4 linked regions of the Arabidopsis thaliana genome follow. The protein of the gene in region 3 interacts with the protein of the main gene of each other region in a pairwise test. Each region holds a gene or a part of one and is shown on either strand. Other genes may lie near its edges. The genes, in order: AT4G17430, AT3G06600, AT3G02880 and AT5G49540.

The links.
Region 1: the proteins of AT3G02880 (region 3) and AT4G17430 interact in a protein complementation assay, tested with the Arabidopsis thaliana proteins (one large-scale study listed by BioGRID).
Region 2: the proteins of AT3G02880 (region 3) and AT3G06600 interact in a protein complementation assay, tested with the Arabidopsis thaliana proteins (one large-scale study listed by BioGRID).
Region 4: the proteins of AT3G02880 (region 3) and AT5G49540 interact in a protein complementation assay, tested with the Arabidopsis thaliana proteins (one large-scale study listed by BioGRID).

Annotation. Positions count from the first base shown.
Region 1 is NC_003075.7:9,722,955-9,729,819, forward strand, and holds AT4G17430 (O-fucosyltransferase family protein), read right to left. Parts: upstream 3,881-6,865; 5' UTR 3,848-3,880; coding exon 3,381-3,847; intron 3,304-3,380; coding exon 2,247-3,303; 3' UTR 1,756-2,246; downstream 1-1,755. Other genes in the region: AT4G17420 (Tryptophan RNA-binding attenuator protein-like protein), read right to left, coding at 1-101, 185-245, 391-486, 570-608, 733-911, 1,001-1,040, 1,129-1,188, 1,442-1,489; AT4G17440 (chromogranin (DUF1639)), read left to right, coding at 4,894-5,466, 5,574-5,705.
Region 2 is NC_003074.8:2,054,211-2,063,674, forward strand, and holds AT3G06600 (uncharacterized protein), read right to left. Parts: upstream 6,304-9,464; 5' UTR 6,249-6,303; coding exon 6,156-6,248; intron 6,062-6,155; coding exon 5,939-6,061; intron 5,714-5,938; coding exon 5,348-5,713; 3' UTR 5,339-5,347; exon of another isoform or gene 5,142-5,338; intron 3,608-5,141; 3' UTR 3,497-3,607; exon of another isoform or gene 3,268-3,496; intron 2,155-3,267; 3' UTR 1,413-2,154; downstream 1-1,412. Other genes in the region: AT3G06590 (basic helix-loop-helix (bHLH) DNA-binding superfamily protein), read right to left, coding at 437-1,102; AT3G06610 (DNA-binding enhancer protein-like protein), read left to right, coding at 6,627-6,758, 6,857-6,912, 7,399-7,465, 7,543-7,635; AT3G06620 (PAS domain-containing protein tyrosine kinase family protein), read right to left, coding at 8,623-8,752, 8,893-8,987, 9,432-9,464.
Region 3 is NC_003074.8:632,079-639,428, reverse strand, and holds AT3G02880 (Leucine-rich repeat protein kinase family protein), read right to left. Parts: upstream 4,965-7,350; 5' UTR 4,611-4,964; coding exon 3,320-4,610; intron 3,133-3,319; coding exon 2,815-3,132; intron 2,722-2,814; coding exon 2,447-2,721; 3' UTR 2,145-2,446; downstream 1-2,144. Other genes in the region: GASA5 (GAST1 protein homolog 5), read left to right, coding at 418-495, 656-689, 925-1,106; ILR1 (Peptidase M20/M25/M40 family protein), read right to left, coding at 5,570-5,968, 6,073-6,201, 6,294-6,608, 6,857-6,982, 7,077-7,350.
Region 4 is NC_003076.8:20,102,447-20,108,592, reverse strand, and holds AT5G49540 (Rab5-interacting family protein), read left to right. Parts: upstream 1-2,314; 5' UTR 2,315-2,608; intron 2,609-2,967; 5' UTR 2,968-2,983; coding exon 2,984-3,081; intron 3,082-3,179; coding exon 3,180-3,375; intron 3,376-3,485; coding exon 3,486-3,505; coding exon of another isoform or gene 3,506-3,515; exon of another isoform or gene 3,516-3,758; coding exon 3,759-3,789; 3' UTR 3,790-4,112; downstream 4,113-6,146. Other genes in the region: AT5G49555 (FAD/NAD(P)-binding oxidoreductase family protein), read left to right, coding at 126-241, 345-457, 520-599, 693-813, 904-970, 1,053-1,182; BLOS2 (biogenesis of lysosome organelles complex 1 subunit-like protein), read left to right, coding at 1,437-1,520, 1,592-1,891; AT5G49530 (SIN-like family protein), read right to left, coding at 4,351-4,410, 4,498-4,618, 4,709-4,918, 5,048-5,676, 5,816-5,867, 6,016-6,087.

The sequences.
Region 1 (6,865 bases), on a different chromosome or scaffold from region 3:
AGCATTGTATTTGATTTGGAAATTGATCGACGGAGTGAGAGCGGCAATGCAAGAAACGTCAATGGTGAGAACTTCTCCCACCTCCAGGTTTTTCTGTACAACTTTATGAAGCAAATGGAGTAGGATCAGTTTAAAAGGCCTAAACCTAAAGAGCAGTAAGTTGAGATAAACTTTAGTTGCATACCAGAGCCGCCAGCGATAATAAAAGCAAGACCCTGACCAGAAAGCCTTTGTCTCAGAACCCCCTACAACAACGACTCTCTGACTTCAAGCCAAACATATATAAAATTTTCACATAGTAGCATCTACAAGAAGTAACTAGGAAAGGTATAACTCTTAAGTTTTGAATGAACTGTGCCAAAAGCCAATGCAATGTATTGTTTTCCTTACCTCAGCCCCAGCTGCAGCAATGTTTCTTGCTCGATGTCTCTGATACACAGTGTTTACGACCTTCACATCATGGACAGAACAGAGAAATGCATCTGGCTACACAACAACAAGAAAAAGTCACATCATTGAATGAGGAGGAAAAAGCTGAGAGCCAAGCAGCTAAAGATTGACGGCTCTACCTGGCATAAGATGTCCCCACCAAACATTGCCAAATCAAGCTTCACGGAAAGAAACAAGCCAAAGGTCACCAAAACACATAAGAACGAGATAAGGAGATATACTTATATCAAGCAAGATACTAAATACTACGGAAGGAAATCATGGCAAGTAAGAACCACTAACTGGGAGAATCCTTGCCAAAGAAGGTGCAGCGATACCAACAAATCCATCGTTTTGCCCAGTGTTACGAAGAACTATACTACTAACACTCTTTCCTAAAATCCATTGTACAACTCCAACTTCTTGTTCAGGGGTATAAGTATTATCCATCTCAATGGACCCAGACATGTAGCACATTGAACCTAAAGAACCATATATAATCAGTTAACATATACAATCCAACCCAACAGATCTTACAAAACTTAATGAGGAATCATAATATGGAAATTACCAGGCTTAGCAATGACCTTCTCTTGTGGTTTTAACATTATCTGTCAAAAAAACAATCAAATGCTTGAGTATATATGTCAATCACATAAACACAAAATGCCCAGACTACAAAATAAAATGTCGACCTACCTGAACAACCTGTGCTTCACCACCCAAAATTTGGAAAGGTGTGATCGTATCTTCTTGACTCTGCATCATATAACCACTTGTGAGATTCATACTCCCACAGACACATTCAAGAGATCAATTTCTCACCCAGGAAATAGCTTATTAGCATTATCACTGAATTAGATGTAAGTACACATCACATTACTCAACACCTACATGAGAAAGGATCCTAAAATACTCGCGAAGAAGTATATTCGAACACTAGCCTTCTCGATAGTGACAGACAAGAATACGAATCTAAGAGGCGAGAAGAGAACGAAGATAGAAGACAAACCTGATAGACATAAGGCTGAAATGGAGTAGAGAAAAACGGAGCAGCCATGGCGGTGAAAACCGCAGAAAGATCTTCCAAACAAAAACCTCCGAATCCAAATTTCCACAGAACCAATTGGATTAGAAAACCTTTCACGTCGATGCGAGACGATCAGATCGCAGATCCAAATAACACACTCGAAACACTCTGAGCTCTCTCAAAACTCCGGTCGAAATGTTCGCGGTGGATGTCACCGACGGGAACCCAACAAAACGACAGATTAAATTCGCTTAAATCGGCCTGAAGCTGCACGTGGAATCTGTTTACGTGGAGAGATCTCATTGGTCACAAAATACACATCGACGTAAAATTTCATTTCCGGTTTAATATAATTACATTTCTTCTCAACCAACCCTCTTTCACTAGATTTATTTGGTACAAAATTTCTTATTCAATAGCCGGTTTAAAGACATTGGTACAACAATTACAAATCTTGTCGACCACTAGAGACATCTACAGAACTCACAAAACCTTTACTAAGCAACCATCCCACGCAACCTTTACTCTTCCATTGTTGTGTGTGAATAATCAGAAAGGAACCAAGTAGCTTCATCTATTAATAAGAAACTTAGATAGTTTCCCAAATAACTTAACAACACAAAACAATTTAAGAGCCTGTTTTCATCACCAATAACTTCAAGTGGAGACAGATGACAGATCTATCATCTATCTCTATCCATCTCTATACAAAGACCGGCAAAACTTAATAAAATCACTACACATTGGCTCATCCACCAGATGAATCCAATAGAAATGCAGTCTGAGTTCAACTACTACTACACGCATTGTATTTCCTCATCATCTCTACACTATCAGCTATTGTAGACCCTGGAGTACCAACAAAACCCAGTGAAGCACAGCTACAAACAGCTTCCTCTATGTAAAGCTGCACATTGGATCCTCCATGAGGGTAACAATGGGTCTGCATCTTTTTTATACTATCAAGACTCATCGGAATAGACCCAAATTTCTGGCCGTGACTCGCTGAATCAAGTTCATGCTCTGTTCGCGCTAAGAATTCATCTTGTTCCCCTATAAAGTGGAGCTTGAAATTTGTAGAGTTCTTAGACAAATCACCCAAGTAAGTTCCGGTCCAGTTAAATTCAGGAAGGTCTGTCATTACAAACACATTAATTAGACCAGGATTCTTAACGCTCAAAGCTTCCAACTTCTGATATAAACCCGTAAAAGTGCTCTCCCGATGATTCTTGAACTGGCCATCTAGTAATCTAAGTTGTGCACAAAGAAACGGCGCCTTTATGGTTTCTGAAGCAAATTTCTTTCCCGCGATCATTATCTCTCGAACAAAAGGAAGGAAATCGACCTTCTCAACCAAAGATTTTATCTTTGGAGATTTATGGATATCGATATACAGCTCTGAGCCTTTGTATGGAGCTGTGAAGAGGCTCCCAAATGCTAGAATAGCTGCAGACTCAGCTTCTGTACCATGTCCAAGAGTCTTATACACATCTCTTCGCCTTCTCACGTTGGACAATTTCTTTTTCTTCTTGAGCTTCTCATCAGGCTGGAACGAATCTAATCTCCCATCAGCTTCTCCATTTTTATAAGTCCAAACAGTGGTTCTACAATCTTCATCCACAGCATACAAACATTTATCTACATTACCACGAACTCCAGATAACAAATAGCCACACTGTTTCAGTGACTCATAAGCCTGAGACTGTTCAGCTAAATCATCAGTGCATAGAGTCTCCAAGTCAACACCACACTGTAGTGATGCAAAGTACCTAAAATCAATGACTCGAACAGCCGAAGAAGATACCAGCGACGAAATGTCTACAATATCAGCCATCGAAACGTACCTATAAACACCAACATTTGTCACCCACATTGATCAAATTACTAAAACTCATTACGAAAAAAAAAAGAGATTTTGTACCTGTCAGTCTTAAGAAGCTCAATTGAATGATTCCAAACTGAGATTCGTATCTCGCTGGGACTCAAAACCCTAAATTTAGGACAACTACCGAGAGCAACGGCGTGATGATCCAGAATCGGAGGAATAATTAGGGTCCGATTAAGAATTCCCGCCATAAGAAGCGCATTCTTAAATTCCGATAGCTGATTACTGAATCCACTGTGAGGAGCGTACCAGAGAAACTTCTGACCTAGAAGAGTTCGGGTTAGTATCTCGGATCTGCACTGAGGGAATTGAACGGATCCAGAAAATGCAGAGATTGAGAACAAGGACTTGGGCATCTCGGAGTAAGTGATGAAGAAGACGACGATGAAGAACACAACAAGTATAGAAACGGAGCAAAGAAATATCGCAGATTTGTCGGTTTGCTTCTTCCTGTTTGGCCATGGACGTGGGCTTGGTCTACTGGGATTGAAGAAGTTGTTCATGTTTTTTGCTCTGAGGTTTTAGTCGCCATCATTGCGTTGCGTCTAGTTTTGCTCATGTGTAGAAGATGCCAAAACGGTGAGTGTCACTGTTTTGGGCCTAACTAATATTCTCTGATGGGCCTTAACTAAAATAATACGAACTTAAACATAGTTAATTTTAGAAATCTTTTTGTAACATAATCTATACGAAGCTATTTGCGCGTCCACATAACATTTTAAACAAGCAATGGAGATTAGATATCTTGCTAATTAATATTTATGAACTTATTTTTATTTTTATTCTTTTTAAATTTTTGTAAAATAAAATAAAAAATATATGAAAATAAAAGAATATTTAAAAATATAAAAAATTTCTAAATATTTTGTCACCAAAATAATATTAAAAATATCAAAATGTAAATTTCTATTTTATTAAATTTATACACAAAAATAAATTTAGGTCTTTGGACCTAACTAATAATATTCTTTGATGGCCTAGAGAAATCGAATTCACTAGATGATCTAATATTTGTTGATTTTTAGTCCAAAATCGAATTCACTAGAGAAATTAACCTATTTAGCACTTACATGAATATATTGATCATCATTGATAGACTTAAGCAGTTGTAGTCTTTTAAGCTTTTTACGGGTTCTTTTTTTTCTCTTCTTTTCTTTAAGATCTCTTTATTTATATGTCTAAATCTAAACGTAATTTTCTGGATTTATTGTTAACATATATTAATCCCCATATCAGAAGGATGATAATTGATGTTGATATATCAGGATATAAAATAATTAACTAATGATTTATTTTAGCCAACAAAATATAACATACTTTTAACAAATCGTGATCGAATAACAATAAATTCTAAATAACACTTTAAAACACTAAAAGTCTTTTGAAATCATAAACCAATAACACCCCATGAATAAAAACATAATTAGAAACTTACGCATGCATCAGCTTCCGTAAATCTCCTACATCTCTCTCTCTCCTCTCTGCTTTTTACCTTCTAGGGTTTTTGATCATCTCTCAGGTGAATACGTTTTGGTATAATCTCATACCAATGTCTGCGAATTCCAAGTCGGAGAGGTCTGCTTCTCAATCGGCGGAGACGGTGGCTGTTTCTAACCGTGTCGTGGCGTCACGGTCAAGTCGTCAGCCGCGTCTCTCTTTCTCCTCCTTTGCTCCCTCATCAGAGCACGATAACCTGAAGAAGCTGAAATCCGATGAGATTTCTCCCGCGAGAGAGGAAGTGCCGGTGTCGGTGAAGGAGAGAGAAGAAACGGAGGAGGAGGAAGCGAAGAGGACGTGGAATCTTCGTCCGAGGAAGGCTTATGGTGGTTCGAAGAAAGGAAACGGCGTGTTCACGGCGGAGGTTTGCGGTGGCGGCGGAGGAGGAGGTTCGGAGGTGAAGAATCAGAAATCAGGCGCAGGAATTGAGCCGAAATCGAACAGGCAGAGAGGAATCCCGGCGGAATCACCCGGATTAGGCGGTGGTGAGGTTGCAAACGAGAATCATAGGCTTTGGGTTGCTCTAGCTCGAGACGAGATCGAAGAAGATTTGTTCAGCATGAGTGGGAACAGGTCATCTCGCCGGCCAAGGAAGAGGGCAAAAGCTATGCAGAAACATCTCGATGTAAGTCACCAGGTGTTCGACGAATTGCCTCACAGAGAATTCAAAACAATGACTACGTTTTTTTAGTGTCTCCATTTTCTTAGGCAATTCAATGTCTGCCATTGTAGGTCATTTTCCCTGGATTGGGTCTCGTTGGGATGAATGCTGATTGCTTCAGAGTAGCCACTTCTCCGGCTAAGGTTAGCTTTGATCAGTCCACTTACTTGCTCGATGAAAGCTTGGATCAACCTGCCCTTTAGCTACATTGATCTGTAGATAGTATGAAATGGATGAAAGTCTAGACCTTTAGGTGCTATTACAGATTTTATGAAGTTTCATTCTATGTTAGCTTTACGTAACCTAATGGTACTGCTGCTTTAATGATACAAAACCCGTAACAGCGATTGTATTCCATTTGCAGTGATGATCGATGCAAAGGAGTCTTTTGGTGAAGGAAAAAGGTGAAGTCATCTCCCTAATTGAAACTTATCATTTTCATGGATATATGGTAACGTTGTTATGATATTACATTGCTTGATCTTGTTGAGGTTTGTGCTTAAGTAGTTGGATTTTGTTTCTGCTTTGTTGCAGGGTAGATAGGTATGCTGGTGATCGAGAATCCAGATACATCACAGTAGAAGCTAGGAAGAAGATATCTCAAGAGACATGTTCTTGTCTCATATCAAACTTAGTAGTAACTAAACTATAAGTAAATATCGGTAAGGTCATATAATTATAGATATATATAAAGAGAGAGAGCGAGAGGGGTTTGTTTTTGAGTTAGTAATTAAGATGCGTCTAAGTTTAATGGCAGAGGAAAACAACATAATCTATGTTTAAAAAGGGTTTTTTGAAACCATTTATAACTCTTATTAGCACAGACAATGATTTATTAAACCATATATAACTCTTATTAACACACATAGTTAGAAAGTGTATTAAGATCCATATAAGTTTTTTTAAGTACAATAAGGTTTCTAAGAGAATAAAAGCAAATTAAAAACCTGCAGATAACTTTGAGAAGACGGCTAAAAATAGTTACAGTTCTGCATTAATGTTTCTAATTATTCCAAAAATGTGAAACTAAGAGTGTAGTTTTTGCTTTTACGCTGGTTTATTAATCACACAGTTGTTTCCTCTGTATGACTGTATTTTTTAAAAAATCTGCATACCCACTTAACAACAACCTGCATAAAGAAAATGGCTCACAGTTCATATTCATGTGATTGCATCTTAAGGCTTGAAGTCCTAATGTGAGAATGGAGTACCTAAACCACAATAAGCTAAATGGGCTAATATTCATGATTTCAAATCCAAAAGGCCCTAGAATACCACCAGTTACGACTTCTCTTTCTTTTTTAGGAAAATGTGATTTCTTGTAAATTTTAGTATTTAATTTGCAAGAGCATGCTTACTTTGA
Region 2 (9,464 bases), 1.4 Mb from region 3:
TTCATATAGTACATAAGATGATATAGTACAAAGCCATATTGAATGAACTAAAAGTACATCAAAAGTTCCATATTGGTTTAGTTATCACATACTATGAGGTTAAAAGAGGAACCCATTTTCCCACTAACTCCAATAACGAATTCATCAATCTTATTTTTTTTTTGATCAACAACGAATTCATCAATCTAAATCAAATAATCCAACTACGATTTGAACCCTAATGGTAAAGACTTTATTAATCAATCATATACTTAATTTAGACTTGAGGATCGTAAAAATGGGAAGACTCGGTTCAAAATTTACTTTTACTTGTAGCAGAGAAGAATCAGCGGTTGGGAAGAGTAGTTACAGATTATAATCAAACCGAATCTTCTATATACACATAAGCTGTGAAAGATCGAGAGATGGTAGAATTAAAAAGACGATTTTAACCTCATCAAATCGGTGGAGGAGCTGAGCCGTAGGAGGAGAGAAGCTGAACTAAAGAGTTCATGGCTCTCACTTGCATCTCCAGAGCCTGAATATAATCAGTTGCTTCTTCTAGAATCACCGGTACGGATTGTTTACCGCAACCGGGAACTAACCGGCCTAGAACACGTACTTTCCGGTTAACATCCGGTATACTCTTCTTATTCAATCTCAACACCGACACTCTCCGTTTTCTCGATCTGTTGCTGCTGCTACTAACCACCGTAGTCATGGCCGGAATCGCCATCGTAGCTCGAGGACGTCTCTGTTTACGAAATTTCAGTTTGATCCGATTAGCTAAGATCGCTCTGCTCCAGAGTGTTCTTCCCCGAGCGGAAACGGCAAGAGCTCGATCGGCGGCTTCACGGACGGCCTTTCCTCGTTTCTGAGCCGTTGGAGATGATGATGTTGAGGCGGAAGAGTTGAGGCGGACTTGTTGGAGCGCTTGGAACAGTTTGGCTGAGTAGATCCGTTGTTGCTTCTCCGATCGCCATCGCGCGTGAATCTCACCGGAGACGGAAGATGCGCTTGAACGAGACGATGCGGCGGATGAAGCAGAGGATCTCTTCTTTCTCCGAACGAGATCTGAAGTAGTACTCGTCGGCGGTTCAATATCTGAGATCAGAGACGCCATAACCAAATAATTGGCTCTGATCTCCGCAGTCGTATTGAAAGAGCTACAGAATCCGAATTTATCTGAAGTTGAGCGGAAGAAAGTTATGAAATTGTGGAGAATAATGGAAGGGAGAAGAAGAGGAAGATATATAAAGGGAGAGAGGTATCAACTATCACGAGACGTAGCAGTTAACAAACGGCCCCGTTTTAGATGTAGCAGTTAATAAGCGGCGTCGTTTTGTCAATTTGTTTTTTAGTATTTGTTGTTTTAGCCAGATACGAAAGTGGCATTTGTAATGCATGATAAAGAGAATTCGTGAATACCACCAAGAAACAAATAATTTCATTCTCAACACTAGTGGAATTGATAAGTTATAATTAACTGGCTCTATAACCTCTAATGGTTTTGGAATAATGAGAGACAGAGACATCATTGTGACTTGAAGCAATGTTTATGAATTATGATTATACTTAAAAAGTTTTGTTCCACGTTGATTAGTTCACAATTATTTTTTTAAACTTACCCTCTTGACAGAGATTTTAGAAAGAAATTTATATACAAAATTTCTTACAATCACGAGTTTTCGATCTTTTGTAGACATAATCTAAATAGAGAGTAAAATACATAATAGAAATGCTACAAAGATCCTAATGTGGGTAGAGCATCCATAACGATAGTTTCCAATCAATTTAGGGTACAATCTTAATTACTAAATTAGCTTATTGATATCTAAAGATGTTTACGAAAAGAGAAAACAAACAAACTTGTATAAAGGCCGATACTTTGGTGGAATGGAGGAGGAAGGTAGATTCAAACGAAAGGATGACGTGTCATATTACTATTGGAGAAATCCATTTACGACTTATAGTGGTCGTTTAATGGACTGACAGGGCAAAAAGAGAGGGGCCAAAAACTCAAAACTTTGGATTTTGTATTCAGTGCAATGATTTCGTAAATATTGGAATTGTATTTAAAATACTACTTTACGCATAAAGTAATATACCAAACGAAATGCATGTGCGATGTAGGGTTAGTGGCACTGCCTCTCTTTACGGCTTTTTTTTCTTTCCCTGTAAAGAAAAGATCACTGAAATTAACTCCTGTATTTTATCAAAAAAAAGTTTTGTATGTGTATCTATCAATATGTATGAATAAAATTTCATTAAATTTTGTGTATATGTATAAGTAGATATAAGATTAATAGATTGTTGGGTAAAGTATAAGGGAGTGGCGTCATTTTATTCATATATCCTGCTGAAAAAAGGAGCTTCTGAACTTCTCCATTGGGTTAATTCATATATAAATAAAGCTAGCTACGTTCAAACTAATTTTCTAGAAAAGTTACTGTTAGTTTGATTTTTGTTTGTACTGTTCACTATGTTGAGTTTGATCAGCAGTTAAAATGGAAAATACCTATCTTAGTTTATGTTAGACATAAAAGTACCACAATGGTATATATACTGTATTAAGATGTTTTTAGGCGGGTGGAAAGGATGTTAGAAACAGAGCGCAATGCGCAATGCTTCATAGATAATAGTATTCATTTAACCTAAGGGCTAAGGGTTAATAATTGTGTCAGTAACGTGGCATATTCTCTGTACCTTAGAAAGTTATAAGCTAGAATGATTCCACATGACAAATTAATGATAAGAAACAACATATCCAATTATTCACTAAAGTGTCACTTACAATAAAATAGTTTATCTACTTCGAATTTAAGAATATATTTTCGATTTAGATACTTAAATTTTCTCAATTTATACTTTAGAATCAAGCAGAAAATTTGTTGGTGAAGAACAAAGCAACCTAATGAATTATCTGTTTTACGAACTGAGTCAAAGAAACCACTATTCGAATCTGCGATTTGCGTAATTCTCATGGGCTCTACTTCAACAACAACAACAAAAAAAACATGTATCACAAAGGTTGCTGGCTGTAATTGTTATCTTCCATTAATAGAAATAAATATATTTCGGATTGGAAGTTCAAATTTGTTACTATGAAAATTTACTACTGTAAATCATAATTCCAGCTATCTAAGGTTTTCAAATTTATTTGCAAATCATTATGTATCTCGGATGTAATGAGTTTTTTCTTATTATATTAATGAAAAAAGTTGATAAGGAAAGGAAAACTAACTATTAAGTATGATGAAGGTGGCACAGAGATTGCCTCCCTAATTCTAGACACCAAATAAACTAAGTGAACGACAGACAATGGAAGAAGAAGGACTAGTTTCTTTTTAAAGGAAGAAAAAGGGAAGTATTGATTAGATTAACAGATGATGATGCTCAATCATTGTTTTTTCAACGGGTCTATTTTGGATTGCTAATATGAAATGATTAATAGTCTTTTGGTAAATTTAACATCAACTTAACAACACTTTTCAGAGGCAAATATGAAAACACTAACCTGTGTAGTTTTTTCTTTTTTCAAATGATATTTCCAACTTCTATGTGTTTCGCTTCATCAGAAGTAGTTGATTTTTTGTCCCTGGTTTCTCACAGTGATAGCAGCCAAATCCTGTTTAAATAGTAGAAATATGATTATTGTTAGATTACGTACACTAATTTATAAGCATTTGGAAGCCTAACTCTTAAGTTGCCATCATTGTTTTACCAACAACACTGAGCAAACGTGACAATTACTTGACCAATGACAATCTTTGTTGTGAATCGAAAAGCTGAATTTCCAACCCATGATTTGCCTAGGTTTAATACCAGCTTTTCATCATACACGTGAAAAATAATTACTCCTAAATCTATAGTGGGAATCCAATTCGAAAGCAAGACTCAGTTTCTCACAAAAAAGTCATAGACTGAACTATACAAACGCCACGAAAGTAAGCAAGAAAAATGATATAGACCATTGATTACGTAATACACAAAATATGGTCATTAATCAATGTCAAGACACAAGGACAAGACTGATTAAGAGAAACAAACAAAACTCTTCTAATTGGTTTCCACTAATTTAAATCACTAAGCCGGATTTTTCTTTAATCACACAGAAACTTTACTTCAAAAGTAAACCAACAAGAGCTGCTTCTCTTTAATACATGGCATATATTAGTATATTCTCTGGTGTTTAGTGGCCTACTACTATATTAATCTCCAGTAGAAAAGCCAAACACCAGTCTGGATTATTCTGTCATTCATTTTCTATATACAGGACTAGTTTCTAAATCCTAATCTTTGTACCATTATCCATAATGGAGAATAAACCTAACCTAATACCTCGAAGAGTTTATCCTAATAGTTGTGAAAGATCAAATCAAGTAATTACCCAAAAAGCTTAACAGGCTGGACTTTCCATAGGATTTGTCTGGCTTAATATACAAAAATGTAAAGAACAGCTTGCATGAGAATGGAAACAAAGGCTAGCACATGTCTTGGTAAGATCTATATAACCTATCGATTTGAGATGCACATAGAAACAAGCATGCTATATATATGAAGCAAATAAATTAGGTGGGGTTGCATTACATTGTATCAAACAGAGCTAAGAATGGAACACATCAAGGTATATTAGAACCTAGCAACTTAAATGCTACAGAAGCCTATGTATCAAATGTGTGATGGAGAGAAGACTTTGCATTTGGATAACACAAGTCACCATAGATGAGACGATCAAGTGTCATATCAGTTGTGCCAATAAAATTTTAGGGATCAATCATTGGTTAGGACTTAGGAATGAGACTAACTAGCTGCTTATGAGGCCTACTTGCAAACTCACTCTCAACCTACCAATGGATCTAGTGAGAGACTACTTGGTTTGGGCCTAGCATGAGCTAAATTTAAAACATTCAATCAGAAGGCTTAGGAAGTTTAACATTCAACAAAAAGGACACAGAGAGAAGAAGGTAGCATTTCAACCGCATAAGACTTCACTGAGATATCTGTACTTACTTTTACTAGAGAACGTGTGTTGCAGTTATTTTTAAAGAGTGAATTCTAAAAAAAAAATAAAAAACAATGTTAGAACTGATCTTTCCTTTGGTAGACACATCCCAGTAGTTGAAATATGTTAATAGTGTTGAAGTTCAAGAGGTGCTAATAGCCAACTTAAACTAAACAGCTGTGACCTTCATTAGCAGAGATGCAACATAAAATGACAAACAGGATAAATGTGCTATTGAAGGCAGATCAGTATACAACCCCAATCTTATGCAACGTTGAAATTATTATTGTTATCATCCTATGAGAAGGAAACCAGAATCAATGTGACAAAGGTAAGAAACGTAAAGTGAATTACCTTGAAGAATCATGTTGGAAGTGGTCCACGGTAAGCACGTTCCTCTCCTGAGCTGAAGAAGACCACAATCGCAGCTAAGATAGCCCAAAGAATGAAACTCAAAAGCACAATGCGGAATTTCACAGTAACAACTCTATCGACCCAGTTAATTTCTGCAGAATTGTCAACTGAACAGATCAGTTTTTTCAGCTCATTGATCTCCCCACGCAAGGATTGCACAGAAGCGGGCAAGTCCACAATCGACTGGATCCGATCAGTAGAAGACGTGTCAATACGAGCCTCCACACTAGTAATGGTTGAAACTGGAGAATCATCAGCCGGAAGACAAATCTCTGGGGTTGACATTAAGTCTAGGCTCGATCCTTGAATAACACTCTGAGGAGAGAACAACATAATTCGAGCCAGTAATCAGTACCCAGACACATAATGGCTAAAATTGAGGTTTAATCTTTCCAATTCGTCATCAAGCGCAGACAAAATCGATTCAATTTTCGAAAATTTAACATCTAATCTTAACGGATCTGAGCGTTTACAAAGCAACACAACGAAAAACTTCGATGGAAACTAAACCTAACTAAAACATTGGAGCGAAGCATATACCTCAGCCTCGGAATCAGAGATCGCACCAGAAATCTGAGAGATCGGACTAAAATCCATCGGATCCTTCGTGCTTTCAAAAGATACGTCGGAAAATGTTGCGATCTGTCTCTTCTCCGTCGTAACCTTCAGTTCAGAGAAGCATTGATTCGAATTTGAGTAGAACGATGTGGGAAGAAGAAAACAATGGCGATTTTAAGGATCGATCTAATAAAATTACCTTCCGATTCTTCATCTCAGGATCCTTGAGTCTCTTAGCTCCGAGTTCTGATGAGCGCGCGAAGCTTTTCCTGGGAATTTGAATTTCCTTCATCTCTCTCCAATGTTTTCAAATTTGGAGCTTGTCAGTTTTCGAAAATGTGAAATAGTGAGTGAACTACAAAACTATCAAGCAAGATAATTTTATTTGTAGTACGCTTCTTACATGGGCTTAAGGGCCGATAACTATTTTTATTCAAGGCCCAATATAGATCGTTCTCGCTCATCGCAAAATTAACCTACTAAACCGGAATTCGGTTCGGTTGTGGTATTGTTTAGCCGGTTTGGTTCCAGCCTCACCCGATAGAATTAGCCTTTAGGGTTTCTAACGTCGAAGCTTGAAACACTATCGAACCTCAAAATCTCTGTTGCCGGAAATTTTCTTCACCGAAACTGAAAGAAGTCGAAAGAGAGAAGAGAAGAAATTGAAGCAATGGAGGGAGCAGAGGAAGCTGGGGCTGAGATAGCGGTTGATTCAAAGGACTTGCAGCAACAAAGCAAAGCTTTCGACAAGCTCACCGATCGTGTCGAGGATCGCCAGCTCGATTCCTCTCGTGTTCAATCGGTATGTAACTCTTTCGTGTCCTGATTTCTGAAAATATTAGGAATTCCGAAATTTTTTTAGCTCGATTAGTAAATTGAAAAGTCGGTATCGTGTTTCAGGCTATGGCTTCGATTGCTGCTTCTAGGGAGGCTGATCTGAATGCTAAGAGGTTGAGGTAAAAACTCTAAGCTTTTCCCGTGTTCTAAATTCTGAAATAGGAGATTATTAGCAATGCTTAATGAAGCTGTAACATAAGTCAAACTCGTTTGTTTCCATTCCTAATTCAGAATTAACTTGATTAATTTGATTACTGCGTTACACTTGTAGTTCAAACTGTAGCTAATCTCTCTGTACAAATTGGTGTTTATCTGTTTTTTTGGGGCTTGGCAACACTTAAGTCTATCTATTTAGACCAAGAGTGTCAATTTTGGAGAATCTGTTTGTTTTTTTGAAATTACTCACATCTAGATAGTATTGACGCCAGATATCAGTTGTGCTGTAATAGCTTTTACTAGAGAAAACACAGCGAGAATGATCAACAAAACAAGTAGAACTTATTATTAATAAGTGATTGAATGTGATTTACGAGTCAATATCATCTTTCGGAAAAGATTAGACTTTTCGTTGTATTTGATTGACAAAGTATTGGAACTTTATGCAGGGAGAAAGAACTGGCCTCTGTGAAGATCAATCCTGCAGATGTTGAGTTTATTGTAAACGAACTTGAGGTTAGCTTCTTTTTATTAGCTTCTTCTATGCATGTGTTCACAAAGTTCTGAAGTTTGTCACCATTGTAAATGAGCAGATAGAAAAGAATGTGGCGGAAAGAACTCTAAGGGAGCACAAAGGTGATGCGGTTGCTGCGACTAGGCAATTGCTTTCACGATATCCTCTATGATGGAGCAGGACCATTCTTTACTTCCAAGGTTTTTTGTATGTTTGAGAGGTTGAGAGCAAGTCTCCTAATATTTAACCGAGTTAAAATTGTCTATTGCTGAACCGATCTCTCTGAGAAGCCCTGAATACAGTTACAATCGATTCTGGGGTGGTGTTTTGTGGTTCTACCTGAAGTTTGAAGTTCAATCTTATTATCAAGATATAAGAATGTGTTCTTCGTTTACTTGGTCTTGGAGCTGTAAAAAGCTTGTGGGATAATCATGGAACATTGGTACAGTACTACTTCAAAGCAAAACAAAATAGAAATACATTCAAGTTTCTAGAAAAAGTTTGAATTAGACTGATGCACAACGAGAACTTCCAAACGAAGGTATTCATTGAAACAAGAAGTTTGTTGATCAACCTGTAGGTTAGTGATAACTTCTAATTTGACAACCTTTCAACGTAGGTATAGATTACATAAATCCCCCAATAAATGTCTGTTCCAAAAAAAATTGGTGTTACAATATTCTCTCAGAACTAGAGTTCCAAACTCCCTTTTTTTTCCTCTGTACAAAATATCATCAAATGGTTCTACCACACTTGATCGCATAAATGTTTAGTAAGAATAATATATGCAATCCAATCTCTTGCCCAACCTACCCAACTTTGCAACTTCACATCAAATCCCTTTCACGCACTTTCTTTAAGCTTCCACCAGAGAAATAGAGACCAGAACCGACCACCAGAATTACAGTAACTAACCTGAGCAATACGTTTCTTTTGGTAGTTTGTGTAATGACCCAAATACATCACAACACAACTCCCATAATTTCAGTGGCAGTCTCTGCTTATAGGTCTCCTCCACGCTGTAATTACACATCAACCCACTGGTACTACTGCTCAAACAGACCCATTCTCTATCTTTCTCTGTTCTCATGAACGTCTTTGAGTCTTGAAGCATGGCATTGAGGAACAAAAAGGTAAAAAGGCTCAACTTTTATTTTAATTAGTTGTCCTTGAGAAGAGAATTGTCAGATAACGCAGCACGAGTCGCTTGGAACTGTATCATATACTTTCTTTGCAGGTCTCTTAATTTATCCATCAGTTCTTGGAATGTGGGTCTCAGCTTTGTATCACTGCCGCGTGGACAGACCAAAATAAAAACACAAATCAATGTCAGCATCAGCTATGTAACATGTAGAACACCTAAATCAAGGAGAACCATAATAATTAAAGGCTACACACGGATTATGCAGTGTTCAATATGTTAATGTACCTGTGCCAACAGCTCTCCATTAATGAGATCCAACGAGGATCAATGTCTTTTGGGATTTCCAGCCTCTGGTCCATGAACCCCACAGCTCCAATCACCTGCACATATTTCAAATAAGCATCTCGTCATACTTGATTCGTGTATAGAGAGAGGATATGCAGTGAAACTGAAATTGGAAGTTTTCGGCAATCAAGTCGTGCAATGGAATTAGGAGTTAGGACATCAAATTCGTAGCGATGTGGTATAGTATGACTATATATAAAGAACACACTTCACTTGTATCTTTACATTTTACAGCAAGTACAATCGTTTTTATGGTTCCCACTCTCTTAACTCTCAAGTCTTAATTAGTACAACGGATTTTAACATATCGACCCTGGAACTATTCTTCTGACATAAAGATTCTAGTTATTTGTTTTAGCATAATTGACAGAACATAGAATGTAGTTTTTAAGTGAAACTTTCCCGATTTTTAGATTTCTAGGACAAAGTGTCACTTGGAGACGCTTTCTTATTATTTCTCTATCTATCAAAAATGATACCTGCATAGAGTTGAGAGTTTCCCATGGGATCTT
Region 3 (7,350 bases):
TTCTATATACAGATATTATCATTAGTGACATTTTCATTTTCCAAACAGAGCGTTTAGACACTAGTCAACTACACAATATAATTTTCCAATTTTCACTGAGAGAAATGTTTTTTTTTTTTTTTTCCAAGGCAAGATTTTAGTCTTTTGGTTCTCTATACGTGGGTAATTAGTGATTAGTAATTTACACTGTTGAGTCTTTGACATTGTCTAAGAGACAAAAACGACAAGTGTGGTACGTAATTAGAAATTAAAATGACCTACTTCCCCAGAATCACGGCATGAACATTGGCAATACCAAATTTCTTGAATACCATTGAAGGAAATCCACACTAATCATTTTCTCTATAAATATCTTTAATCCGTTTTATTGTTTCTTAAGAATCATTCATTGGCAATCAAGATTTTTTAACCAAAAAAATGGCGAATTGTATCAGAAGAAATGCTCTTTTCTTCTTGACTCTTCTCTTTTTATTGTCAGTCTCCAACCTCGTTCAGGTAAACCACTCAAAACAGATTCAGTTTATTAAAGTCTGATATTGAAGTTTTATATATTACAGGCTGCTCGTGGAGGTAAAAATGACCAAAGGCTATACATTCCTTAAAAATTTAATGGCTATTAGTTTTCTGATATTGAAGTTTTATATATATATGACAGGCTGCTCGTGGTGGTGGCAAACTCAAACCCCAACGTACGGACTCAAAACTTTTGTTGTTTCATATGATCATATTAATTTATTAATCACTAATTATTGATAATGTTGATAAATAAACTTTAAAGTAACAATAATGGTGTTTATTTTGTGAAATGTCAGTTTTCTAGTATACTGTATGCTGTGAATTATAAGCATGAACATAAAGATCTCAATGATTTGTTTTTTGTTTGTTTGTTGTGATATGCTTTTTTGATGGAAACTTCAATTGTAGAGTGCAACTCAAAGTGTAGCTTCCGTTGTTCAGCAACATCACACAAGAAGCCATGCATGTTCTTTTGCCTCAAGTGTTGCAAAAAATGTCTTTGTGTTCCTCCTGGCACTTTCGGCAACAAACAAACTTGTCCATGTTACAACAACTGGAAGACTAAAGAAGGCCGTCCAAAATGTCCTTAAAACTTCTTTTTAGATATATTTGATAATATTCATCTAGTTTTGGATTATCAAACACTTACTACTCTGTTTTAATCTGTTTCTACAAGTTGGCGATTTGTCTCTACACTTTTTTTGTGTCTTTTGCTCTTAACTGTTGTGTTTGTTATACGTGTAAGCCCGCCCAATGTGTCATGGCCGAACTTATTATGGTTACATATTTATGAAATGGGCTTCATTATCAATTGATTTGAGCCTACAAAAATGTAGCCATAAAGCCCATTAAGTTGTAATTGTTAATATTTCAGTCATAAATATGATTTTCTATATCTATGATTTATCTCTAGTGTTGATGATGTTTGTATGTGGAAGTCATGTTCTATTTGCTTCCACGGTTTAAAAACCATCAACTTGCTAAGGTCAAATTCTAATATTACTGTGAAAAACATTATTTACGTGCGTAATTATATGAATTTATGAATAGGTTTTAATTCCATTTTTTCCTAATAGTGTTTTATGTCAAAGAGTATCCCACTAATAAATTTATTGAACCCCATGTGCATATGTACCCAGTCTGGTACGAGTTGGAACATGAGATAAAGTTGTGGCAACTGCCCATGACTCGGTGTAAATGGTATATCACATGAAAAATTATAAGTCCAGATCACAATATGTTTTCTTCAAATAATTCGAAAAATTATCTAATCGATTTCCCTTTAAGCTTGAACTAAATAGTTTATCAGCACTAGTAATTCTTTCATACAAAATCTCTAAGCAAATATATATCTTTCTGGGTCAATGTTGTTTTTTCATATCTAAAATGTTTTTTCTTTCTCCTGTGAAGTAGGGTTATTAGTTAGTGGTTACCAACTTCACATTATAAAACTTCATATCTAATCAAATCGTGAAGTATTTGTCAGTCAATCGTGAGACGATATTCATGACCACTTTTGTCGTTGACTTTGTTTTTGGCTCAAAATTTTGGACGGCGATAAAAAATAAAACTCGTTGACATTGTTTTTTGGCTGAATCGTTGACTAGGATTCTGGGATAAGATGTGTAAAGAAGAAAACAAAAACCAATTTATTCACACGCAATCAACTATATATTTATACAAAAATTAGCAAAAGCAATAGTTTTATAGACATTTTTAAAACTTTGGAAATAAAGAAAAGTAGAAAGAAAGAAAAAAAGAAACTGATAGGTCTCATCTCAATTTGAGGCTCAAGAATTAACGAACAAACTAGAACAAGAACAAAGAAGAAGAAGTAGAAAAAAGGCGGGAAGTGGGGTCGACACTATTCAAGAAATTGCAACTTGACCCCAAACAATATTCAAATCAATCAATTTAGACCCCCAAAAAATCAGTCGGATACAGGATTTGGGGAGCCAGATGAATGAGAAACCTCCTCAATGAGTCTGGTGACTTCAGCCATCGAAGGACGACTATCTGGGAACTGAGCCGTACAGCTCATACCGATCTTCAATAAACGAATGATGTTCTCATTGCCCTCAGGTTGGTACCTTGTGAGCTCGGGATCAAGCACATCGGACGGTGTTTGTTGCTCGGTAACAGATTGGACCCATCTCGGCAAATCTACGCCTTCTTCATTCAACTGCTGATGCGTTGGAGACTTACCTGCAATGTAATGTTCCATGTTAAAACCTAGAAACCACAGCAATTGCAAAAAAAGCAGTTAAAAAGATATATCTATCCTTGATTGTTTGTTACCTGTGAGTAATTCAAGGATTAGGACGCCAAAGCTATAGACATCAGCTTTTTGGGATATTTTGCGAGCATCAGTGATTTCAGGGGCACGGTAGCCATCAATACGGTTAGGTGCAGATGTAGAACTAATGATGGGAGCAAGACCGTAATCAGAGACCTTAGCTTCATAGGAGTCAGATAATAGTATGTTCGAGGACTTAATGTTTCCATGAGAAGTTGTCCCATCACGCGAATGTAGGTAGCTAATCGCTCTTGCAGCTCCTAAGGCTATACCGGCTCTGGTTTCCCAGTTCAACGGAGTTCTCCCGTTTCCTTTGTTCCCTACAAATCCATTAAAAGAGCTTCAAAACCGAGCTTGAAGACACATAAGATAAACTAACTATGAAACAATTCAGTAATCAGTGTCAATTTTAGCCAAACCAGGTCCATCAAGATCACAAACTAGCATCAGCTAAACTAAGAACCCTAAAAATAAACAAATGCACAAATGGAGATTACTATTCTATACCGTGCAATATCGCAGACAAGCTTCCTTTAGACATGTACTCAAAGACAAGAAGCTTCTCGTCACGGCTGAAATAGTAAGCGATCAGAGTCACGAGATTGGCATGACTCATTGATCCCAAAACATGCAATCTCTCTCTGAACTCTTTCTCAGGCACCACAACATCTCTTAACCGTTTCACAGCCACCACTAACCCATGCTCAAAGCTTGCCTTATACGACGACCCAACTGTTCCTTTCCCAAGAACCTCAGCTGAAGCCTTCAACAATCCATCCAAATCGAATTCCCCGAAAGATTTCACGAAAAAGGTCAAATCTTTATTCACCGCACCACTCTCCGACCCCGTAGCCTTAGCCGGCGGGACAACAACCACCGTTTCCTTTGGTATAGCAGCGGAGGAAGTCGCAGCAGCGACAGGAGCTTCAACATTCCTAGATGGAACGTTCTCTTCTTTCTTTCTCTTTCTACAGAGACAGAACAGAATCAAAAGAAGCAGTAACAGACCAACAACACATCCGATCACAATCCCGACAATAGCTCCGGCGGATAACTTGTCGCTATCTTTCTTCTCCGGCGGCGTATTGGGTCCTCCAGCGTCACCACCATTGGGGCTCTCTGCCTCACAAGTGTCTAAAGGCTTCCCACAGAGAGTGTTACCTTCAAAAGCAGTTCGAGGCCAAGACGACAACGAACTCGGAATAGACCCGTTTAACTGATTAGAAGAAACATTGAATTGCTGAAGAGGAAGCGTGATCTCAGGGATCGGACCAGAGAGTTGATTCCTCTCCAAATACAGAGTAACCAACCGGGTCGCAGAATTGACATTATCCGGGATCCGACCCGAGAATTTATTCTCCCCTAGATTGATTCTGATTATGCTCGGAAGCGTGAAGAGAAGCGACGGAATCTCACCGGAAAAGGCATTACCTTGAAGATACAAGTAACGGAGGAGAACAAGGTTGGAGAAATCCGAAGGGATAGGACCAGAGAGAGAATTGAACCGGAGAGAAAGAGTCTTAAGCTGGGTTAGATTACCAATACCACCGATTGGTAAAGAACCGAATAAACCAGATCCGGGTAATCGGAGAGCCGTGACCCGACCCGCATCGCAGTGGACTCCGTGCCAATTACAAGGAGAAGAAGCACTCATGTTCCATAGCAAAGGACGGCCACGGACACTGTTACGAACAGCGAGTAAAGCTCTCCGGTCAGACTCTAGATCTGAAGTCACCGCAGCGAGATAGAAGACAAAGAGGAAGACAACAGAGAGACTTAGCTTACGCTTATACTTCATCTTCTTCTTCTTCTTCAAAAACCGTGTAAATTCTTCGTCTCCTTGGTTCCAAAAATTCAATAAATATATCGACTTTTTCGGATATGGGTTTTTGGAAAATTTATTTCGGCTACGCGTAAACGAGTGTTTGAACAAAGAGACTTTTGTGTTTTTTGGTTTACAAGAGTTTCAGCTCTGTCTTTCTTCTCTCTCTAGAGCCGGCTAAGAGAGAGAAAATGGTCATAATTGCAGAGAAAAAGGAAAAAAAGAAAAGTTACTAATTGGAATATTTCCTTTTTGACAAAAAAGTTAAAAGAGAATCTTATGTATTTAATTTGACAGCTAATTTACAGAAAGATAATTAATTAATTATAAGGTTATGACTTATGAATACTAGTTGTAACAATTTTATCAGAGTCAACTATATTTGCGTTACATAAATGACAATAAATCACTGCAGTAATGTTTTTTGTAGACGTTTAAACGACCTCTGTTTTTCCTTTCTTTTGTATTAGATCAATAAATTAGGTCTAATTAAAAAATTAATGGTCGTTATCGTTTTGTTTCTTTTATGTTTTTTTTTTTTGCAGGTTGAGTGTGACCAAAGACATGCCAGGTCTGTCAAATGTGTCTGAGCTACCGTTGACAAACAAAGATTAGCCTCTCCGACACCGTTTTTATTTCTGATATAAGTTTGTACCATAGACATTTTTTTTTTTTTTTTATGTATTTGTTGTATCAATTTGAAAGGAAGGTAATAGAAATGGTCAACAGAGAACTTAAGAAGTGGTATTCATTTTGAAGATTTCAATTGTTCAATTTTTAAAACTCTTACATCAAATTTATTTTAATAGAAGTGGTTGGTTTCTCGTGACTATTAACAAACATTCTTCCCAACCCGAAACCTAACCTCACCTAACTTTCAAGTTCAAATACAAATAGATGATGACTAATATAAGCTGATTTTCTCCCAACACCTTCTATAATTCACTCTTAACCTCTTCTTCATGGCTATGACCATGTTCGTCCAAATAAGAAACGGCCATAGCTGCGTGAAGAGCAGCCCCAACAGGAAGAGCTTCTTCATCAACAAAGAAGTAAGGCGAGTGAAGCGGCTTACCAGCGCCTAGCGTCTCATTCTTTACCCCCAGCACGAAAATCGCAGCCTTAGTCTTTTGAGTGAAGAAGCTGAAATCCTCTCCTCCCATTGTCACCGGGAAATCATGGAAGTTATTCTTTCCAATCATCGCTTCCGCTACTTTTTTACCGTGCTCGTATAAGCCCTCGTCGTTATTCATTACCGGGTGAAGCGACGGCTTTTTCTCTTCGAAGTTTACTTCTGCTTTGCATCGGTATACCGATGCTTGTGCCTCTGAAATCTGCATCATCATCAAGAAACATTTAAACAGGGTTAGGGACCTACATTATTCGAATAGTAGAACAAGATTGTATAGAAAAATGGTGTAAAAAACAATCTCTTTACCTCTTTGATCCGTCTTTGGATAAATAGAAGCCCATCGTTGCTTAAGCTTCTGAAAGTACCTCCAAATTTCGCACTCTGCGGTATTACGTTTTGAGCATGACCTCCTTCAATATATCCAACTGTAACCACCTGAGAAACATAAAAAAACCAATCTCCGCTGATTTCAGCCAAGATTCTGATTCATCAAACACCAATGCTTTGAAAGTGGAAAGCAAACTTACACCAGCTTCGAGTGGATCCAGTTCCCGCGAAACAATCTGTTGCAAGGCAACAACAGCGGAAGAAGCTGCAAGAACCGGGTCTTTAGAGAAGTGCGGTGTAGCTGCGTGGCTACCTTGACCGTGAACCGTGACTGTAAACAATCCTGCACCTGCAAGAACGGTCCCAGGCCTAGAACCAATACCACCTGATGGGATCGATGGAAAGACATGAACACTGAGTATCCCATCTAAGTCGTCTAGAATCTCGTCTTTTAGCATTTCATAAGCACCTGCATAACCTTCCTCGCCTGGTTGAAACACAAGTTTTACTGTCCCCTGTTGCAAAAAAATTGTGTTTTCGTTCAAAACCCTCATAAGATTCACCAAACTCTCATAAGACACACACACTAACAACTCTAGAAAACACACACACATAACAATTAGCAATCAAAGACATACACACACATATATCTAAGAATCTTAGAAAACACTAACCCACATCGAAATGAGTTTTAATTGCAGGGCACAGACAGAATCATTCAAAATTATACATATAAATTGAGTGAAAGAGAAAAAAGAGAGACCTTGATGAGGTGTTTTGTGGTTTGAAGAAGCTTAGCAGCACCAAGAAGCATAGCAACATGAGTATCATGACCACAAGCATGCATCTTTCCATCTACTTTACTTTTCGATTCCCATTCCACTAATTCCTTTTTTTGTCCCCATTTTTTCAAATTCATTAGTCAAACAAAGCAATCTAAAAATCAGAGTAAAAATCGGAACTTTGATTATTAGATTTCAAACCTGTAACGGAAGTGCGTCCATGTCGGCTCTAAGTCCGAAAACAGGTTTCGAACAGGATCCGATCCAAGCGACGACGCCAGTCTTCGCCACAGGATACTTATACTTCACTCCAAGCGAGTCAAGCTCGTCTCGAACGAGTTGACTCGTTTTGAACTCCTGAAACCCTGTCTCTGGGTTCTCATGAATCTTTCTCCTAATTCCTCTCATCCACTCGAAGAACTCAGGATCCTTGGCTGAATGAAGCATCCCGCGAGCGAGTGACTCGAGACCCGAA
Region 4 (6,146 bases), on a different chromosome or scaffold from region 3:
CGTTTAAGTCCCTCACTCTCTGGATCAAGAGAAGATAGATTTCTCTATAGGCGGAATTGGTTTTTTTTTTAATTACACCATCTAGCTAATTATCTGGTGATTTGTTGTTTAATTGTTGTGAACAGGCAACTACCAAAATAAACTTGGCTGTTGACAAGTTACCACAGTTCCAGTGCTGCAACACAAATCATTCAGGTCCAGGTCCAGAGCATTTTGGCACTATACACATTGGTGCAGAGAGGTATCATTCGTGCTAATTTGTTCCTCATTATATGTATCTCGAAGAACAAATAATAATACAAATAAAAGTGATCAATGGCTCTGTTCTATCTTCTCTCTGTCAGCATGGACGAGGTTCACTCAGCATGTCATGATTCTGAAAATGGCTTACCATCGAGAAGACCAGTGATCGAAATGACTATTCCATCCACACTAGACAACACCATTTCTCCCCCAGGTACACATTCTCCCCCTTTTGCTTGTTTAGGATTTGAACTCTGAATGTGATTTTGTATGTAGGGAAGCATGTAATCAACTTGTTCATCCAGTACACTCCTTACAAGCCCTCAGATGGAAGCTGGGAAGATCCTACTTACCGAGTTAGTTTGTTATACACGCTTGGCTAAACATTCCTTTACACTACAAGACATGCCAAACCCATCTGGATTTGCTTTTGCTTGTGTAAAAATCAGGAAGCCTTTGCACAAAGGTGTTTCAAACTGATTGATGAATATGCACCCGGGTTTAGCTCATCCATCATTAGCTACGACATGTTGACTCCTCCGGACCTGGAACGGGAAATTGGTCTAACAGGTATATAAAGTGAAGTACTTGGAGAAAGATCCCAAGTACATGCGACATGGCCAAACCATATTGACATGACTGCCCATTTGTATTCTGCAGGCGGAAACATCTTTCACGGTGCCATGGGATTAGACTCTCTCTTCCTGATGCGCCCTGTGAAAGGATGGTACGTGACTCCGAAGTACTCAAAACAGTCTTTACGATTTATGATTATGAAATTCAAAACTTTGTTGGACTGTGTGAAACAGGTCAAATTACAGAAGCCCTTTGAAAGGTCTCTACTTGTGTGGCAGCGGAGCTCATCCTGGAGGCGGAGTTATGGGTGCACCTGGAAGAAACGCTGCACATGTTGTTCTTCAAGACTTGAAAAGAATCTAGCGAGTATAATCTCAGACTGTGCAATGTTAACTCTCATGTGTAAGTTGTTTGTTACTGCTCTGAAAACCTCTGTCGTAGGGAGAGGCTTACAGACATGGACAATAGTTGATATCAACGAATAATAAGCCTCCACGTGTAGCTTAACCTAAATATCACTAATTCAACAAATATGGAAAGTGCCCTAAACAACAGAAGAGCCATTGTTTATTTGTCTTTGTCTTTGTCTTTGCGAAAAGAAGTAAATATCCTCATCAATGGCGGATTCACGAGATGATCTAGCTGAATCGCTACAAAATCTATTCACGAGTGTTTCATCTATGGTCAAATCCGAGCTCCAGGTGAAAATCAATCCGAAATTTTACAGATTTATTTGTTTCCACAGATCTGAAATTGAATTGGATAAAAATAGGGAACGAACAACCATCTAGATCTATTGGAGAAGATGAACCTGAGAGTTGCGTCAGAGTACGATGATATGGGTGACGTGGCAGCTGGGCTCAGAGTTTTCGCAGAACAGATGAAATCAAAAAGTGGTGGCTTGGATGAATTTGTAGGACAAATGGATGCTATCGAGAAACAAGTGTCGGAGTTTGAAGCTGTGATCTCTGTTCTAGATCGATATGTCTCTGTCCTAGAATCTAAAATCCGAGCTGAGTATCGTCATCCTCATCATCAGCGTCGCTCTAATGATTCTGTTGTTACAGACTGATGCATTGTAGCAATAATTAATTTTTATCATTACTGAGATTGTTGGAATCGAGATCTGGAATGCTATTTTGGTTTTAGTTGATATTGAAGCTAGATACGAATACGACGAATGATTTTGTCTACATTCGGTTTAAGTTTAACCAAAACTGAAATTTGCATAAATCAATCTGGAACCAAACCAAACGAAAAGCACCTAAGTTTTTTTTTTACCGCTACTCCATATATAACCATTTACCGTACTTACTAATGCATTGGTTAAGTGTTTTGTTAAACATATTAAAACCTCCTAAGCAAACAAAACCAAACCGAATTAATTTCAGTTTGAATGTAATAGCGATGGTTTTATAAAACCAAAACTTGGAACAAACTGAACTGCTCATCTTTAGTAGTAAGTAACGAATTTTCATAATCACAAATTGTGATGTATAATCATGTTATCCGTTTCAATATCAAGAAATTTAACTAGCATAGTTGGAGAGTGTTGTTAATTTTGATTAGTAGTGGACAATCCGGTTTAAGGTTTGGTTCCGGTTCGATTTTACGGTTTATATATTACTTGTTTTCTCTGTGTTTTTCTTTTGTCTAAAAACACTCTAAAGAACTTAAAGATATTCGTCTGATTGTTCTCTCTCAAATTGGCTCATCCTCTCCATTCAATTCATCCCAAGTACCAAAGCAAGCTACTTCGATCTTCCTCTTACTACTCTCGTTTCTAATTGTAAGTCTATATCAATTCCTTTTCCAAAGTTTGTGTAGATCTCAAAGTAGTAGATCGGAAGAGATCGATAAAACCAGATCGATTAATCATAGTTGCTCCCACTCTCGACTACTTAAGAGATAATCATAAAGTCTTAACCTTTAGGAATCGAAATTTATTGTGATGCTTAGATAGCGAAACCCAGTTATAGAATCATTGAATCAATTAGAAACCCCTAATTTTCCTGTGGAAATTTGCTTAAAATCAATACTTTTTTGGGTTTGTAATCTATACACTTACTCTATGATGTCCAAGTTCTTCCTTTTTTGTTACTGTAATGTAAAATCCAATACAAAGATTTGAAATTTATGTTGTTTCAGATTGTTGTTATCTTAAATGGGTTCATCTGAGAAGAGATCAAAGGATATCATGAGTGACATACCAACTTTCAGTGCAGAGAATTTGCAGAACAATTTGAAAGTCATTCAAAACAGGTCTGATTCAATACAATTCTCTCTCTTTCGTTTTCTTAAAAAGATGATGGTTCTCGGGTTTTTTGACTTGTTATCCCTCATTTTGTTCGTGTTTGCAGCCGGACGTTTCTGTCTATCATAGCTGGTGTCTTAGCAGGAATAATTGGATTCAATGGCTTGATTGGTTTTGTATTTTACTTTGTGGTGATGTTGATCACATCTGTTGGGCTCATGGCTAAGGCAGGATTCTCAGCTGACTTGTACTTTGATTCGTGGAATCGGGTTCTTTTTGACGGTTTTCTTGGTGGCCTTATGGTATATCTTCATTTCCTTTTCTTATTACATTGTTTGTTGCTTCAAGATACATGTTGTTGATCCAACCTGTTAATCTCATACTAATCGCGGTGTTGTTTTCTTTTTCGCAGTCGTTTGTGCTGTTCTGGACGTATCCTTAAACTCAATTTGGTGGTCATACTCATTTTATGATAATGTGCAAAACTAAATCAAAGGTTGATTAGCTTTATGGAAAAACATCTATGGTATGGTGTAGGTAAAAATGATTAGCTTCTTAAGAACCTGTGATTAACATAGAAATGGCCTTTTTGTTTACTTCGTGTAGAATCAAGTATATGCGCAACTCGAAAACAGCTCTCTCTATTCTCTGTTTGTCTCAGTAGGTTTCCTTAACAATGGAGTAGATTTGCGTATGACTTGGTGCACATATTCTGAGGGAACTTCTGCTCCAGATGAGGATGGTGAAACGGCACACAAGATTGAGTTCGGGTTTTGCAGCCTCTTCATCTAAACTGAATTAGATTGACAATGTTTCTCTTGTTCCCTTTTTGAACAACAGTTTATGAGTTCGTATTACCTTTTTTTGTTATTTGAGATCACATCAAACTGTGAAAACCTTTAGATTGAAAAGTTTCAAGTATTTACACTTTCTTCCAATTTCATGTGTTCACATTGTTGTTTTCTTTTTTTTTTACATTCTTGCATGTAAAATATATTCGAATATGCTTAAGATTTCAATAGAGAACATTAGAACACTCTCTGTCAAGTTTGAACTTAGCCGTCTATGTGTATTGTATAGTTCTTTTGTTGCTTCTTATGTTTATTTTCCTGTGTTGGTGTGGCTTGTCTTACCAACTCTAGTTGAGTAATAGAAAAAAGGTTGTTTGATTTCAAAAAGGAAAAACAAAATATGAATATCTCATAACTACTGAACCGTTTACTCATATCAAAATTTATAGACCATTAAAATCTAGTCATGATGATTTAATAAACTCATCATCGAGCTTTCTGTAAAACCCATCCTGAAGAGTTGGTTTCACAGATCTCGTGCATCACCTGTCACACAACACACAGAGTTTAGAGACTAAAACTACGCTTTGGTCGAAACACAAAAAAAAAGTCAAAGAGAGCTCAAGTGAAGACCTTTATATATTCGTTGTTGGTGATTTCACGTTCAAGTTTGGTCCTGCCTGCTGCAAATACCTCAGCCTTCATAAGCTTTGTTCCAGGTGGAGATCCGGTTAAGAGGCTAATGACCACTTCCCTGATGATAAAAACAAAAAAAAAAATCAGAGAAATTAGAGATTCAACCGAAATAAAGAACCAATGTGATCATGTTCCAACAAAAAATAACCTCAAAGAATCATATTCAGGATGGTCTGGAGACGATATGGAGACATAAGACCCGTGAATGTTAGTAGCCACTCCATTTATAACGTCTTCGAGCTCGCCCTGGTAAGCATCCACGGCTAGCGCCACATTCACCGCCATTCCTGAATCAGCTTTTGGATTATTCGATGTCGAAACTGCAAGATCCCTAAGTCCTTGGCAGATCGTCTCATAGCTGCACACAAAATGGTTTATGAATTAACTCTCCTTCCTTTTTCGTAAACAAACTCACATGTTATCAAAAAAATAAATCTGAAAACTCGGAAGTTCAGATAATTGCAAGTATAGTTCCCAAGAATCTCACCGGCAAACTTTGTGAGTTTGAAACACCTTTTTCAAAGCCTTTGGTAACGCCTTCTTAAGTTCTTCTGGCATTTCTTGTGTAACAACACGATGTATCGTATTTTTTGAACTTCCTCCTTTGTCAGAGAGGGTTGTTGGAACCTCCGGTTTAACTGTAACTGAAGAACTTGTGCCAACAACATTCCTCCTTTTATCAGCTCTACTTTTTCCTCCTTGGGCGGTTATTCTCGACTTTAGATTCTCTCTCTTATCCGTCCAAAAAATATCTTGCTCCTTAACAATCTCCGGGTAGGATTTTATGAATGAGACATCAGTGGGCTCTTTGAACTTCCAATCTTTTAGCACATGCCTTTCTTTGGCAAATTCAGTCAACATTCTTTCCATCAAAGGTTTCATCTTGTCACCCGTTGCTTCAACTTCAGAGTACTTTATAGTTGTATTCTGGCTGAACAGAGACAGGACATAATCCCTGGCAGCTTCTACAGGCCCGTCTAGTTTTAGTAGCCTAGTTTTAGGAGTCCATAAACCTTGAACTAACCTGCCATATTCTTGGAGGGCCCCTAAGAAATCCTCGTCTGAGAACTCAGGAGCATAGTGTTTAAGAACACTGTATCGAATCAACGGAGATCCCTGTTATGATCAAACGAGTTAGCCAAATGGCTTATATTTTATTCAAAACTAAGGAGCAGGAACCATATAAACATTATCTTGAAAAACAGAAAAGAACAGGAAATTGAGAAACATAATGCTGATTACAATAGCTACCAACCTCGCAGAGCAACTTTTGCACACGTTCTTTAAGTGGTAGGGAGAGCAAGACCCTGAACTCAAGAGGATATTAAGGAACGTAAGAAAGGGTGTAAATGTTGACTAGATGACACATGAGACCAGACATTGGTAAAGCGACAGTGAATTCCTTTTCGAGGATTAGATGACAAATGTTAACTAGATGACCCTGATATTTTGTACCTTTTTAATGTTTCTTTCGATTCAGAGTTTCTGCTGCTTCCCCCACGGCATAGTTCGTTGATATAAGTGCCCCTTCAAGGAAATACAAGAGGATATTAAGAAAAAGAAAAAAAGTTTAAAGTAAGCAGGAA